3 linked regions of the Rhinolophus ferrumequinum genome follow. The protein of the gene in region 2 interacts with the protein of the main gene of each other region in a biochemical or structural test. Links are inferred from orthologs where the notes say so. Each region holds a gene or a part of one and is shown on either strand. Other genes may lie near its edges. The genes, in order: FGR, KHDRBS1 and FNBP4.

Region 1 (3,746 bases), about 3.0 Mb from region 2:
TACTCATCAGCCTCTAAAACAGGAGTCTTTAGAAACTTGAGATTCTTGGGAGCTGGGAGACATGTGTGGTCCAGGAGGAGCTGAGGAACAGGAGTTTAGATTCCACAGTGTGGCCAGGCAGGAAGCCCCCACCCCGGGTCCCCCCTTAGGCCTGCTGGAAGGGCCCTTACTCTCCCTTCTCTGGCTCTGGGGCCTCGCTACCCAGCTTCTCAAGGTCTGGCCACTTCCTTTTCCACATCAGCCCGAGGTGGCTGCAGAGAACACCGAAATACCCACACCTATTCTCAGACACTCATGCTCATTCACTCATTCCCTCACAAACACTTCCACACCCTCACTCACAGCTTCACACCCACTGAGGAGCAGGAGCCAGCCCTGAAACCCAGGAATCCCATATCTTCTTGTACCATTGCCCTTCACCCATTCCCCTCTCCAGAAGTTTACATTGGATTTGGTAGGGATGAGGAGGGAACTTAGGCCTCAGTTCTGGCTACTTCCTTCACCACATCAGGGACAAAATGCCCAGGACTCTGGATCCCTACTGTTGGCCCTGTCAGTCATTGACTCCCAAACCTCCATCTTCCCATCTGTGAAGTGGGAACAGAGCTCTGCTCTCCCACTACCACCACCAAAAGCAGAAGGAGGCAAAAGGACTCAGAATCACAGGGTGTGGCACCGTGGGGGTTGGGGACAGATTTCAAACCTGCTGACATTCCCTTAACAGATCACAAACATTTATTTATTAGACGTCAACTGTGTGCTGGTCCTTGGAGGCCCTGTCAGGCTTTCTGGTTTTTGAGAAGGTGAAGGGGAGGTTCCCTGGGGTCAGTGATAAATAACTCTTAACCCCTCCAGGACACTGGGCAAAAAATGCTTTCTGCACCTGATTCTCATGACTGGGGATGAGGTGGGATCTAGCGGTTGGATAGGGGCAGAGATCATTTCCCCCTATAATTCAAATGAGGAAAATGAGGCCCAGAGAAGCCCCATAACTTGCCGAAAGTCACACAGCAATCAAGGGCCAAGTCTACCCAAGTTCTTGAATCTGCAGATCGCCCACCCCAGGATCCCTGAACACCAAGCATCATCGCTTTACTTCTCAGTTCCGCAGCCCGCCTCCGACTGAGGACACAAAATGGGGGCGGAGAGGGGACCAAAGGGGACTGTGAGGGCAATGTGCACTACAGTAGCCAAGTGCCAGGCTCTGCCTCTCCGCCCTCTTGTTGCCATGGTGACAGCCCCTCCCGGCAATCACGGTCAAAGGCAGGATTTCCGTCGGGGCAGCCAGCAATTCCCGGATCCCGAGGGGGAACGTGGACCGAGAGCGCCACTGCGGGCGGGGAAGGGGCACCCAGAGAGGCCTATCCCTGTTGAGGCGGGGACTTCCCCAGGAAGCCGGGACCCACGCCTCTAGCGCCTTGAAGGAGTCCCCTCTCTATGTACAGTCCGCCGACCAGTGCGGGGTGGGGAGGGGGCTGATAGGTAGCCGCCTCCGCTCCACCCGCCCCGCCCCCCGGCTGGCTACAGGCTTCCCCCCCGACTTTTGCCGATTCCAGATTGGAGGACTTCATGGAACCCCGGAATTGCGCCCTACATTCTGCATCCTCCACAGATGGCTCTCCTTGACCCCTTCCAGCAAACTCCCACACCTGATCCTCCCAGTGCCCTCACCTGCTTCCCCTCTTCCAGACCCCTCAGCTTCTCCCCAAACCCTCAATTTCAAGGTTCCCTCAGTTTCTCGCCCAGCCACTTTTGGGGGTCCCTTTAGTCCCTCGCCCCCGATTCAGCCCCCTTCCCCAATTCTATCAATCTCACTGAAGAGGTTCCCTCCGTCTTCCCCACCAGACCTTTTTTTGGGGTCCCTTTAGTCTGCTTTCCATATATTCCCTCACCCTCCTCCCCACATTTTATCACTCTTACTCTCCAGGTCTCCCGTTTTCCTCTTTAGCTTCTTTTCGGGGTGGGGCCGCTTTGGCCCTCAACTCCCTCAGTCCCCCTCCCTAAATTCAGGCTTACCCCACCTAGTCCTCCCTCCAGGGCCGCAGGCAGGCCAGGGGCGGGGCACCGCGCTGCCCCTCCAGCCCCACCTGACGGCCGCCTACCTGGTGCCAGGGGAGGCGGCTTCTGACGAACCTCAGGGCGAGCCAGCTGGGCTCCCAGCAGCCACAAGTGCCGACGTGTGGAGGGAGAAAACTGGGGTACTGCCCGCCTCTGACCGCCGCCCCCTCTGGGCAGGGAGGAGGAAGCCGTCTCGGACTTCTCTTATTGCAGCCGCAGCGGCAACAGCGGTGGCGGCGGGGAGAACTCGCAGTCACGCCCCTGCCCCAAGCTGCCGGCAGCGGGGAGGGGCCCTCAAATCCCAGGCAGGTCCGCCCGCCCCCACTTTCCGCCTCGGTTACGGGGGTCGGCTTTCCCACCCAACTCCTCCCCGCAGACCTGAACCCCCAGGACAGACTTCTTAAGGGCCTCTTCCAAGGGGACAGGTTCCTGCTCCCACCCAGAAGCACCAGCTCTTTTAGAATCATTGCATTTGAGGTTAAGAGGGTTTTTTCTCTAGCATTGAAGCCCCCATTTTGCAGGTGGGAAAACTGAGGACCAGATGAGGACAGGCCTTAGCAAATTTTCACAGCCAGTTGACCTCACACTGCTGTGACCAGAGCCACCAGTCACCATGCTTTGCCATCCTCAGGGGCTGCTGGGTGCTGGGGACACAGAGATGTCGGACAGTGGGAGCTGCAGGAGACCCTATCCTTAGGAAACTGCTTTTCAGAGCAATCAGCCATCAGCCCAAACTAAGGGAGGGGGAGGGTGTCAGCCTCCCCCCCCACACCCAAGTTTTAGAAAAACTGAGTGTCTTCCTCTATCACAGTTCCAGCCTTTCCAACTAGCAGGGATCCCTGAACCCCCTCAACCTGGGGTTCAATCCCCCCTCTGGCCACTGTTACTTTTTTAGCCTTAAACTAAGGACAAGGAAAGTCCCTCCTGTCAGGGGAAGAAGAAATGAGTGTAACAGGGCTGTTTGGTGGAGAAGTGTGTGTGTGTGTTGGGATACGGTGGGAGGCCGGGAGGGTGTGTGAGCACAGATGTGTGTGTGTGTGTGTGCGCGTGCGCGCACGCGTGCATGCGATTGTAGTCAGTGAACACGATGACTGCAATTTTGCAATCAACTGGGACACATTCTGCATGTATGAAAATAGGGATGTCTGTGAATGCCTGTGTGTGCGTGTGCACTTGTACATGCACCAAGGTGTATCCCAATGTGATTGTGGGGTGGCAGACTATGGTGGAATGCAGGTAAGAAGGCTTTCTCCTTAGGAAAATGAGAGAAGGAATGGGGAGGAAGACACAGGGAAGGAGGTGAAGGTGCAGGAACTTGGGAAGGATGGCCTTATGCTTGCTGGGCACCATCTTCTCCACTATCAAGCACTCATTGACTGGCCATTGGTCCATGTGTTTTTTGTTTTAAAGACAACTTTTTGGGGGGACAGGGGGCAATATTGGGGAACAGGGTGTTTCTCCAGGGCCCATCAGTTCCAAGTTGTCCTTCAATCTAGTTACGGAGGCCCATCAGTTCCAAGTTGTCCTTCAATCTAGTTACGGAGGGCGCAGCTCACTGGCCCATATGGGAATCGAACCGGCAACCCTGTTGTTCAGAGCTCGTGCTCTAACCAATGAGCCATCTGGCTGCCCCCGGTCCATGTGTTTAATGAACAAACAAACATTTACCATTGCCTGTCAAGTTGCCA
Region 2 (3,746 bases):
GGTACCTCCTCCATCTGGGCATCTCATTACACAACAAGGACACTTCAGCCATTTGTAACACCATCACCCAAGCAGAATGTTCAAGGACAGCAGCAGAAATGAGTTGCAAGGGAGCTATAAATCCTCCTTGCCCCCTTTCCCTCCTCCATGCATTTGATGTCTCCCCCCACTATTTCTTCACAGTTCACAACTCGATTACTCCCATTCCTTAAATGCGTCTCTGACATTCTCATCTCTGCTCATTTGTTCACGCTTCCCTTTGCCTGGAACTCATTCTCCTCTGGCCAAAATCTATCTTGTGCTTTGAACTCCAATCGTACTTAATATTCACTTATCTCTTGGCATTTGTCACATTACAATTTTTCATTACAATTATTTAAAACATTCTTTTTTTCCTCCTACTTGAATATAAACTACGTTTGTGACCTCAAAGTACTGCACCTGACACCAGAAATATATCTATATATGTGATAATTTGTGAAGATATTTGTGTTTTGTTCTCATTTCTGTGGGTGGTTTCTCTCCCCCACTCACAAGGTTGCCAGGCCTTAATGTTCTCTTGTTGAAGGCTTCAAAGTTTCAGATCCCAAAATCAAAAGTTTCCAGGCACCCAGAAGATAATTTCCAGAAATGCTCCTGAAAAGCGTTGGCTTATTCTGGGAAACTGATCCAGAAGGAAAAGGGATGGGAGTGCTTAGAAAGGGAGAAGCAAATATCTGTGAAAGGAAGGAAAGGTTAAAGAAGGCACCAGAATGAGGAGAATGCGTTGGCAGACTGTCCACTATACACCTTGGCCTTGAGAGCAGTGGTAAGGATCTCTTTGAACAGGTCTGGAAGAATCCAGTGTGAAGGGCCCAAAAAGAGGCAGGAGGCTTACCACTCACATCAGTAGAAGGAGCCACCCTAATGATGCAACCATCATGGATTATGGACCTGGCCTCTAGCCCACTTTTTGCGGAAGAATCTTAGTTCAAGTCCTCCAACAGCCTTCAGTCTTCCCACTGCCGAGTCCTTCCTCAATTTTTCCCTCCAAGCTTTCCTTTCTCATCTGCACCCTTCAGCCCTGCGTCAGACTCTCCCTTAGTCGTTCCTTCTTCACCCCAGCCTCCCCTCTGCCCTGTCTCTTCCTCCTCTCTTCCCAGGCCCAGCCAGCCTCAATTTTCTCCTCTAACCCACGCCACCCGCAACCTCGCGTCTCTCCCGCCGGTCTCCTTTTATTCCCCTACTTCAATAACCCCTCCCACCTCATTGAGCACAACCCCCCTCTACTGCTGAGCCGTTAGAGGGGGCGTGGCCCCGCCAGTAACAGGTCTCCCGCCCCACACTCCGCGGGTCCGCGCGCAGACAAAGACATTCCACAGCCCCCGCCCCCACCGCGCACTCGGCCCGAAGGGGGAGGAGACACGTGTCCCGCTAGCGCCCAGTCACGTGGTAGAGAAAACGAATGCTGCCCGCCGCCACCCGCGCAAGCGCACAAGGCTTTGGCCTGGCGGGCTCCGAGGGAAAAGAGGAGCAGGGAGGCGACATCTTCGGGTTCCTCGCCGGTGCGCAGGCGCCGTGGCCCGATTGGGGACTTTGTTCTTCGCGGAGAGACCCAAGGGCGGTGCCGGAGACTGGCTGCGCACGCGCGACGCCTCATTTCCGGTGCTCTTTCGCTGGGTCGCTCGGGTCGGCTTCGGTCGCCGTCGCTCCTGCTCTCCTACCCCCGCCAACCGCCACTCGGGCCTCTGCCGCTGCCGCGTCGCTTCCTCGATCCTTCGATCGCACATCCTCCCCAATGCAGCGCCGGGACGACCCCGCCGCGCGCATGAGCCGGTCCTCGGGCCGCAGCGGCTCCATGGACCCCTCGGGTGCCCACCCTTCAGTACGTCAGGCGCCGTCTCGGCAGCCGCCGCTGCCTCATCGGTCCCGGGGAGGCGGAGGGGGATCCCGGGGGACCGCCCGGGCCTCGCCCGCCACGCAGCCGCCACCGCTGCTGCCGCCCTCGGCCACGGGTCCCGACACGACAGTGGGCGGTCCGGCTCCGACCCCGCTGCTGCCCCCCTCAGCCACTGCCTCCGTTAAAATGGAGCCGGAGAACAAGTACCTGCCCGAACTCATGGCCGAGAAGGACTCGCTCGACCCGTCCTTCACTCACGCCATGCAATTGCTGACGGCAGGTAAGCGGGCCTCCCGAGTCCTTCTGGGTCGCCCGGCCACCCGGGAGCATGGGTGGCAGCGGCTTTGTTCTTCTCTCTTCCCGCCCCCTCGGGACCAAAGCAGTCATGAACTCCCCTTCTCGTTTCCTCATTCTCATCTTCGGTAGTCTGGATTGCACATTCCCATCCCGGCCCTGGGTGCGAGGGAGAACGTCTAGGCTGCAGTGGAGGCCCGAAAGGCACTTGGCGATCTCTGAGTGCAAAGATGTTGATGGATAGTGCTGCGCTCCCGCCCCCTTTGTGATCCCCCTCCCACCTCTTGCAGCTGCCCCACGCTCCGAGTGCTCAGATTCTTCCAGAAATGAACCTTTATCTCCCCCTGCCCCCGAAAGGGAAAGCTTTTTCGTCTGCGGGTGGCGGTAGGCGCCTCAACTGAGGGTGTAGGAGGTGAAGACAGCCTGAGCGAGGGGGGGCCGTGGGAGGGCGGGCGGAGGTGAGATGGGGTGAGGCTGGAGTGCCCTGTCCAGCGCGCCGCGGTTGCTAGGGCCGGGTCAGACTTAGCGGTAACTGGAGCTTAAGTTGCTCCGAGGTAGGAGCAACCGGTGGGAATCGACGCTTGAGGTTATCCGAATCGTATTTCCGACTTGCACCTAAAATAATCATTGCTGCAGAGCTGGAAGTGGTCAAGAATAAGCACGGACCCTCTTATTTTACAACTTGTGTTCACCATCATTCAAGAAGGGGAAAAATAACCCTAGAGACAGTGAAACTGGGAAGAGGGAGGAACGGGTGGTTTGCATGACATTCCCCAACGAAATGGACAAAAATTGAGGAAGTTGCACGATGCTTGTACCTGAAAGCCTTTTTCTTTGTGTTTTTTTTTCTTTTTGCTTCAGTAGTGAAATAGATTAGGAATAGTATAGTCTTTGTTCTGTGTCGCTGCTCCTTTTCTGCTCTGCACTAGCCAATCACCTAGTCGCTCTGATTTCTCCCTAAAGCCGTCTGTTTTGCCCTCACTTCTAGTTGAAACGTTGTTTTAATAAGTAGTTCTTATATGATACCTAAATTTTAATAAGTACAAATTCACAGCCTTCAACACTGAATGAGTGACTAACTGGACTTTTTGACAAGGTTAATGTAACAGGCAGATCCTTATGAGAATACTTCGCTCCCTTTGTTCTCTATCTCCCAACATTGCTAAGGGGTCTTTAAAAGCATAAAGCACTCAGTGGTCAAGAATAAGCACAGTTAGATAAAGTGTTTACATTATGAACTCAGTGCTTTGCTGTTCTGTAATGGATTGTTTGAAGCATTACTGTTCATGTATTCTGGCAAGGTTTTTGAGAGCAAGGAATGCTTTTTATCTTTATATTTTTCTATTGTCTTACATGTAGCAAACCCCAGGTGCTTGAATTTGAAAGCAGATTTAGGAATGTCCGAGTAGTAAAGGTTGACTTGGTAGTCTAATTTTTATTTCCTCAAGTCTTTAATTAGTCCAGGTTAAATTTGTGAGATAAAATAACAAACTTTAGGACTTTTAAAGTCTTGGCTTAGGCTTGAAATTCTGACCCTTGACTTGGGAAACTTCCTGAACCTCAGTGACCTCAA
Region 3 (3,746 bases), on a different chromosome or scaffold from region 2:
TGAAAGTGCCAAATCCTAACCGCTAGACCACTGAGAGAGACCACCCCTCTGTGCCCAATCAGCACTGATATATTGGGGCCATGGGCAGCAGACTGACAGCTGTCAAACCCAGAGGCCGCAAGAGACCAAAAGGCAGGAAAGTCAAAAGAGGAGGAGGGGAGCCTGGGCCTGTTCATAGAAGATGAGGATGAAAAAGTGATCCCAGGATATGCAAATAGTTTGTCGCGACAGATTCCACTATTATAGACAGGCTAGACAGACAGATTGGATAACAGAGAAGTCCAGAATCTCGGAGGCCGTACTAATCCTGAGACGGGAAATTGCCACGGGGAAAGTGGAGAGGTATGATTGTGGAACTGTGTACCTCATTGCACGGATATTTTCTTCATTTTGGTAGGGAAGCCTACAGCCAATCTACCCTGATCCATGACCAACTTATTCTGTCATGGGAGTCTTCAAGACCTTAAGTGCTCGGGCAATGGCAAAGATTTCCCATCTGAGTGGCCAGAAATGTCACCAGAGGCTAATGGGTATGTCCAAGAGAGAACTCAACCCAGAGCAGCGGTGACCAGATTCTTGACACTGCATAAGAAAGAATTCACAAGCAAAACAAATGCAGGAAAGCAAAAGCGATTTATTGAAAACAGAAATAAATCTTGAGAAGAAAGTGTGGACCAACTGAGAGAAGGTATCTCATGGAGGAAGTCATGATCAGAGATTTTTATTCCTCCCAGGGAAGGAACTGGTGACATCCCATTGACGTGATTCATTCATCTCAGCCCTCTGGGTGGGACCCTCCGTTTCCTTTTTCTTCCTTAAATGATTCCTCCGAGACCATCATGGTCTCAGATGCATGATGGGAGGCACAGTAACCGCAATGCAAATGACATTATAATGACATTAAAATTGGCTAAACGTCAGATCCCAAGGTCATAGGGATTAGCCTTACTGGATGAAACTGGTTGTTTTTCTCCAGCTGCAGGTGGTGGATAGTCACTTGTTACTTGTGTAACCAGTGAGGTCCTTCATGTTGTATCCTGGAGGGGGTTGTCAATTTCCTAGGCTACCTATCCTGCTGCACTTCTAGTGATTTTTTCCCCCAGCTGATGAGCAACATCATCTTTGTGCGCTAAAATAAACATTTATAAAAGCATAAAAGACCACTATTCTATTTAGTGTTCAATGCTATACCCAAAGTAAACCACAATAATCAGGGTGAAACTCGGGGAAAGGCCCTCAAATCAGCATAGCTTCCTAGAGGACAAACGAAGATGAACAGTAAGTCCAAAACAGACACAAGATGGAGGACAAGAGGGTGAAGAAAAGACTCCGCAAAAATGCCTGGGTGGAGCCCCACGTGATGGGCAAGTAATTCTAAACTCAGGCCCTTCCGCACTATTGGCTTGACGCTCACTCTTTTTCCTTTTCAATTGGCTAAAGATTCCTTCAATGGGTCAAAATAACCAATCGCTGAGCGCGGTGGATAAAGCCCGCCCTCCCTCTCTGGGGAGAGAAGCCAGAACATAAAGTGCTCAAGGCGCTTGCGCTGGCGCGCGCTCCGCGGTTAAAAGTGGATCCTCGCAGGAGGCGGGGTCACCGTACATGAATATTGATTACGCAGCGCCACGCCGAGCACCCTCCCCTCTCGGCTGTCCGACGCTAGCAGCTCGCGCTTGGGCTCGCGATGGGGAAGAAGTCCCGGGCGGTGCCCGGCCGCAGGCCTATCTTACAGCTCTCTCCACCGGGTCCCCGGAGCAGCACACCTGGCCGGGACCCGGAGCCGGAACCCGACACCGAGCCGGACTCGACGGCGGTGGCGCCCAGCCAGTCAGCCCCGCCGGCGCCGCCGCCGACGACGACCACCGCGGTGACTGCCGCCCCGGCCCCGGAAGATTCGCCTTCTGAAGGTAAGGGTGCGCGAGGGACCTCGGCCCCTAGGTGGGGCGTCCACAACTCGAGCTCGGGTCTTGTTGCGGCCTAGACCTCCCGGGCAAGGCCGGGGAGGAAGAGAATCCTGGCGGGCGGCGTCTGCATCCGAGGCCTGCTGCGTGGGGCCTGCGGGAAGGACGGCAGTGTGCCCCAACGTGGCGGAAGGGGCCGCGGAATCGCGCGCGCCAGTCCCAGAGGCGCCATCTCTGTTGCAGGGGTTGGCCCGGGCACCCAGAGTTTCGTCAACGTCCACGCTCGGTATTGGATAACTTACGGGGTAGATGTGAGTATGCGTTTCCGCGTTCGAGGCTTGATGTCTGGAACCTGATCTTTTCTGCACATCATCCGCTTTTCCCTTCGTTTTTGTTGATACTGAAAGAGACCCTTTAGAAGTGAGCAAACCCTTTTTACTATGCCAGCTAAAGTGTAAGTAAGCCCAAGTTGGCGGGTATCCCAAAAATTCCTGGAGAAGTAGAGCTTGTGGGTTCCCAAGTACTTGTGTGTTTCTCCTCGGAATGGTACTTGAATTAAGAGTAACTGGACAACGCTTCTATAAGCCAGACCCTGGAGTGGTTATTTTAGGTGTTAAAAAAAAAAATCACGTTGGTAGCTCATGCGGGGAAAAACATGCTATAGCTGTGCTTGTTGTAAAGGCCCTGTGGTAGCCTGGAGATGATGTGTTTGTGTATTTTTAAATTATTTCAGGTGTAATTTTTATAGGTAACGTTCAGGTTCTTAATGTTAAAGTCACTAGGTGGAGAAAAGAAAAGATAAAAAAAAGTAATTAGGTAGTTGGAAGATTCTAGCTCTACTTGTTTTTCATCTCCCACTTATTTGGGTCAGTGATGGATTATACACCCTGCTTTTAAATTGATGAAATTTAGAGTTGAAAGGTTAAATCAAAGATTATTTTGTCACCTATAGTGTTTTCTCTGGTCCATCATCTGACTGTAGTTTTCTTTTGTTCATTTTCTAAATCCAGATGAACAGGAAGTGGTGGTGGAGGTTCCCAGAGTTGTTCAGAATCCTCCAAAACCAGTCATGACTGCCAGACCCACAGCCGTTAAAGCAACAGGTATAGATTGTTTTTATTTTCTACATCTTTTCTACAGTATCTTTCATTAGCATCAAATTGGGTTTGTATATAGTGTTGTTGAATGCTTCGGTGTTGCTAATTTGTCTTTATCCCATAAAAATGAACATTTAAAATCTTTGTGAATTTGTTGTGAGTTAATATATATATACTACATACAGACACATATATATATCCTACATACACACGCACACACTTCAACCAATGTAAAATTTGTTGCATTTTATTTGGACCCAAAATACTTTGCACTACTTTTTCTTCTAATGCCATTTGGTAATGAATTTTCTGGCTCCCGCCACTAGATTTGTGTTCTTTAACACACTGCTTTGGTGGTACCTAGCAAATGTTTGTGGAGCTGAAAATTGCTTTTATTAAATACTTATTAAGCACTAAAGAGTATTTGCGACAGTGGTTTTGTAGGCAAACCTGCGTTTAAATTGCCACTCTGGCATTCATTCTGAGGCCTCAGGACCTCATCCACCTATACAATGGATCTTTCAGCCCTAAGTTAATTTGATGATTAAATCAAACAATGCGTATAAAGTTTTGACACATAGCAAATGCCAAAAGTGTTAGTTTTCTAATTTCTACCTATCTTGAAAAATTAAAATATGTTTTGATACTAAATATTCTATAATTGGTAGTAATTTTATTCTTTGCAGTTTGGACTGCTTTTTGTACTATGTGACACTGAAATAATAGATGCTTATTCCTCCTCACCGCC

The links.
Region 1: of the proteins of KHDRBS1 (region 2) and FGR, one has a biochemical effect on the other in vitro, tested with the Homo sapiens proteins (2 studies listed by BioGRID, with this or other methods). The link is inferred for Rhinolophus ferrumequinum from reciprocal best matches to the Homo sapiens genes KHDRBS1 and FGR.
Region 3: the proteins of KHDRBS1 (region 2) and FNBP4 form a complex in vitro, tested with the Homo sapiens proteins (2 studies listed by BioGRID and IntAct, with this or other methods). The link is inferred for Rhinolophus ferrumequinum from reciprocal best matches to the Homo sapiens genes KHDRBS1 and FNBP4.

What each region holds. Positions count from the first base shown.
Region 1 is NC_046292.1:18,958,778-18,962,523, forward strand, and holds the start of FGR (tyrosine-protein kinase Fgr), read right to left. Parts: upstream 2,279-3,746; 5' UTR 2,103-2,278; intron 81-2,102; exon of another isoform or gene 4-80; intron 1-3. UniProt on the Homo sapiens protein: Non-receptor tyrosine-protein kinase that transmits signals from cell surface receptors devoid of kinase activity and contributes to the regulation of immune responses, including neutrophil, monocyte, macrophage and mast cell functions, cytoskeleton remodeling in response to extracellular stimuli, phagocytosis, cell adhesion and migration.
Region 2 is NC_046292.1:21,978,345-21,982,090, forward strand, and holds the start of KHDRBS1 (KH domain-containing, RNA-binding, signal transduction-associated protein 1), read left to right. Parts: upstream 1-1,486; 5' UTR 1,487-1,777; coding exon 1,778-2,159; intron 2,160-3,746. UniProt on the Homo sapiens protein: Recruited and tyrosine phosphorylated by several receptor systems, for example the T-cell, leptin and insulin receptors. Once phosphorylated, functions as an adapter protein in signal transduction cascades by binding to SH2 and SH3 domain-containing proteins.
Region 3 is NC_046294.1:13,562,172-13,565,917, forward strand, and holds the start of FNBP4 (formin-binding protein 4), read left to right. Parts: upstream 1-1,543; 5' UTR 1,544-1,684; coding exon 1,685-1,907; intron 1,908-2,144; exon of another isoform or gene 2,145-2,212; intron 2,213-2,911; coding exon 2,912-3,004; intron 3,005-3,746.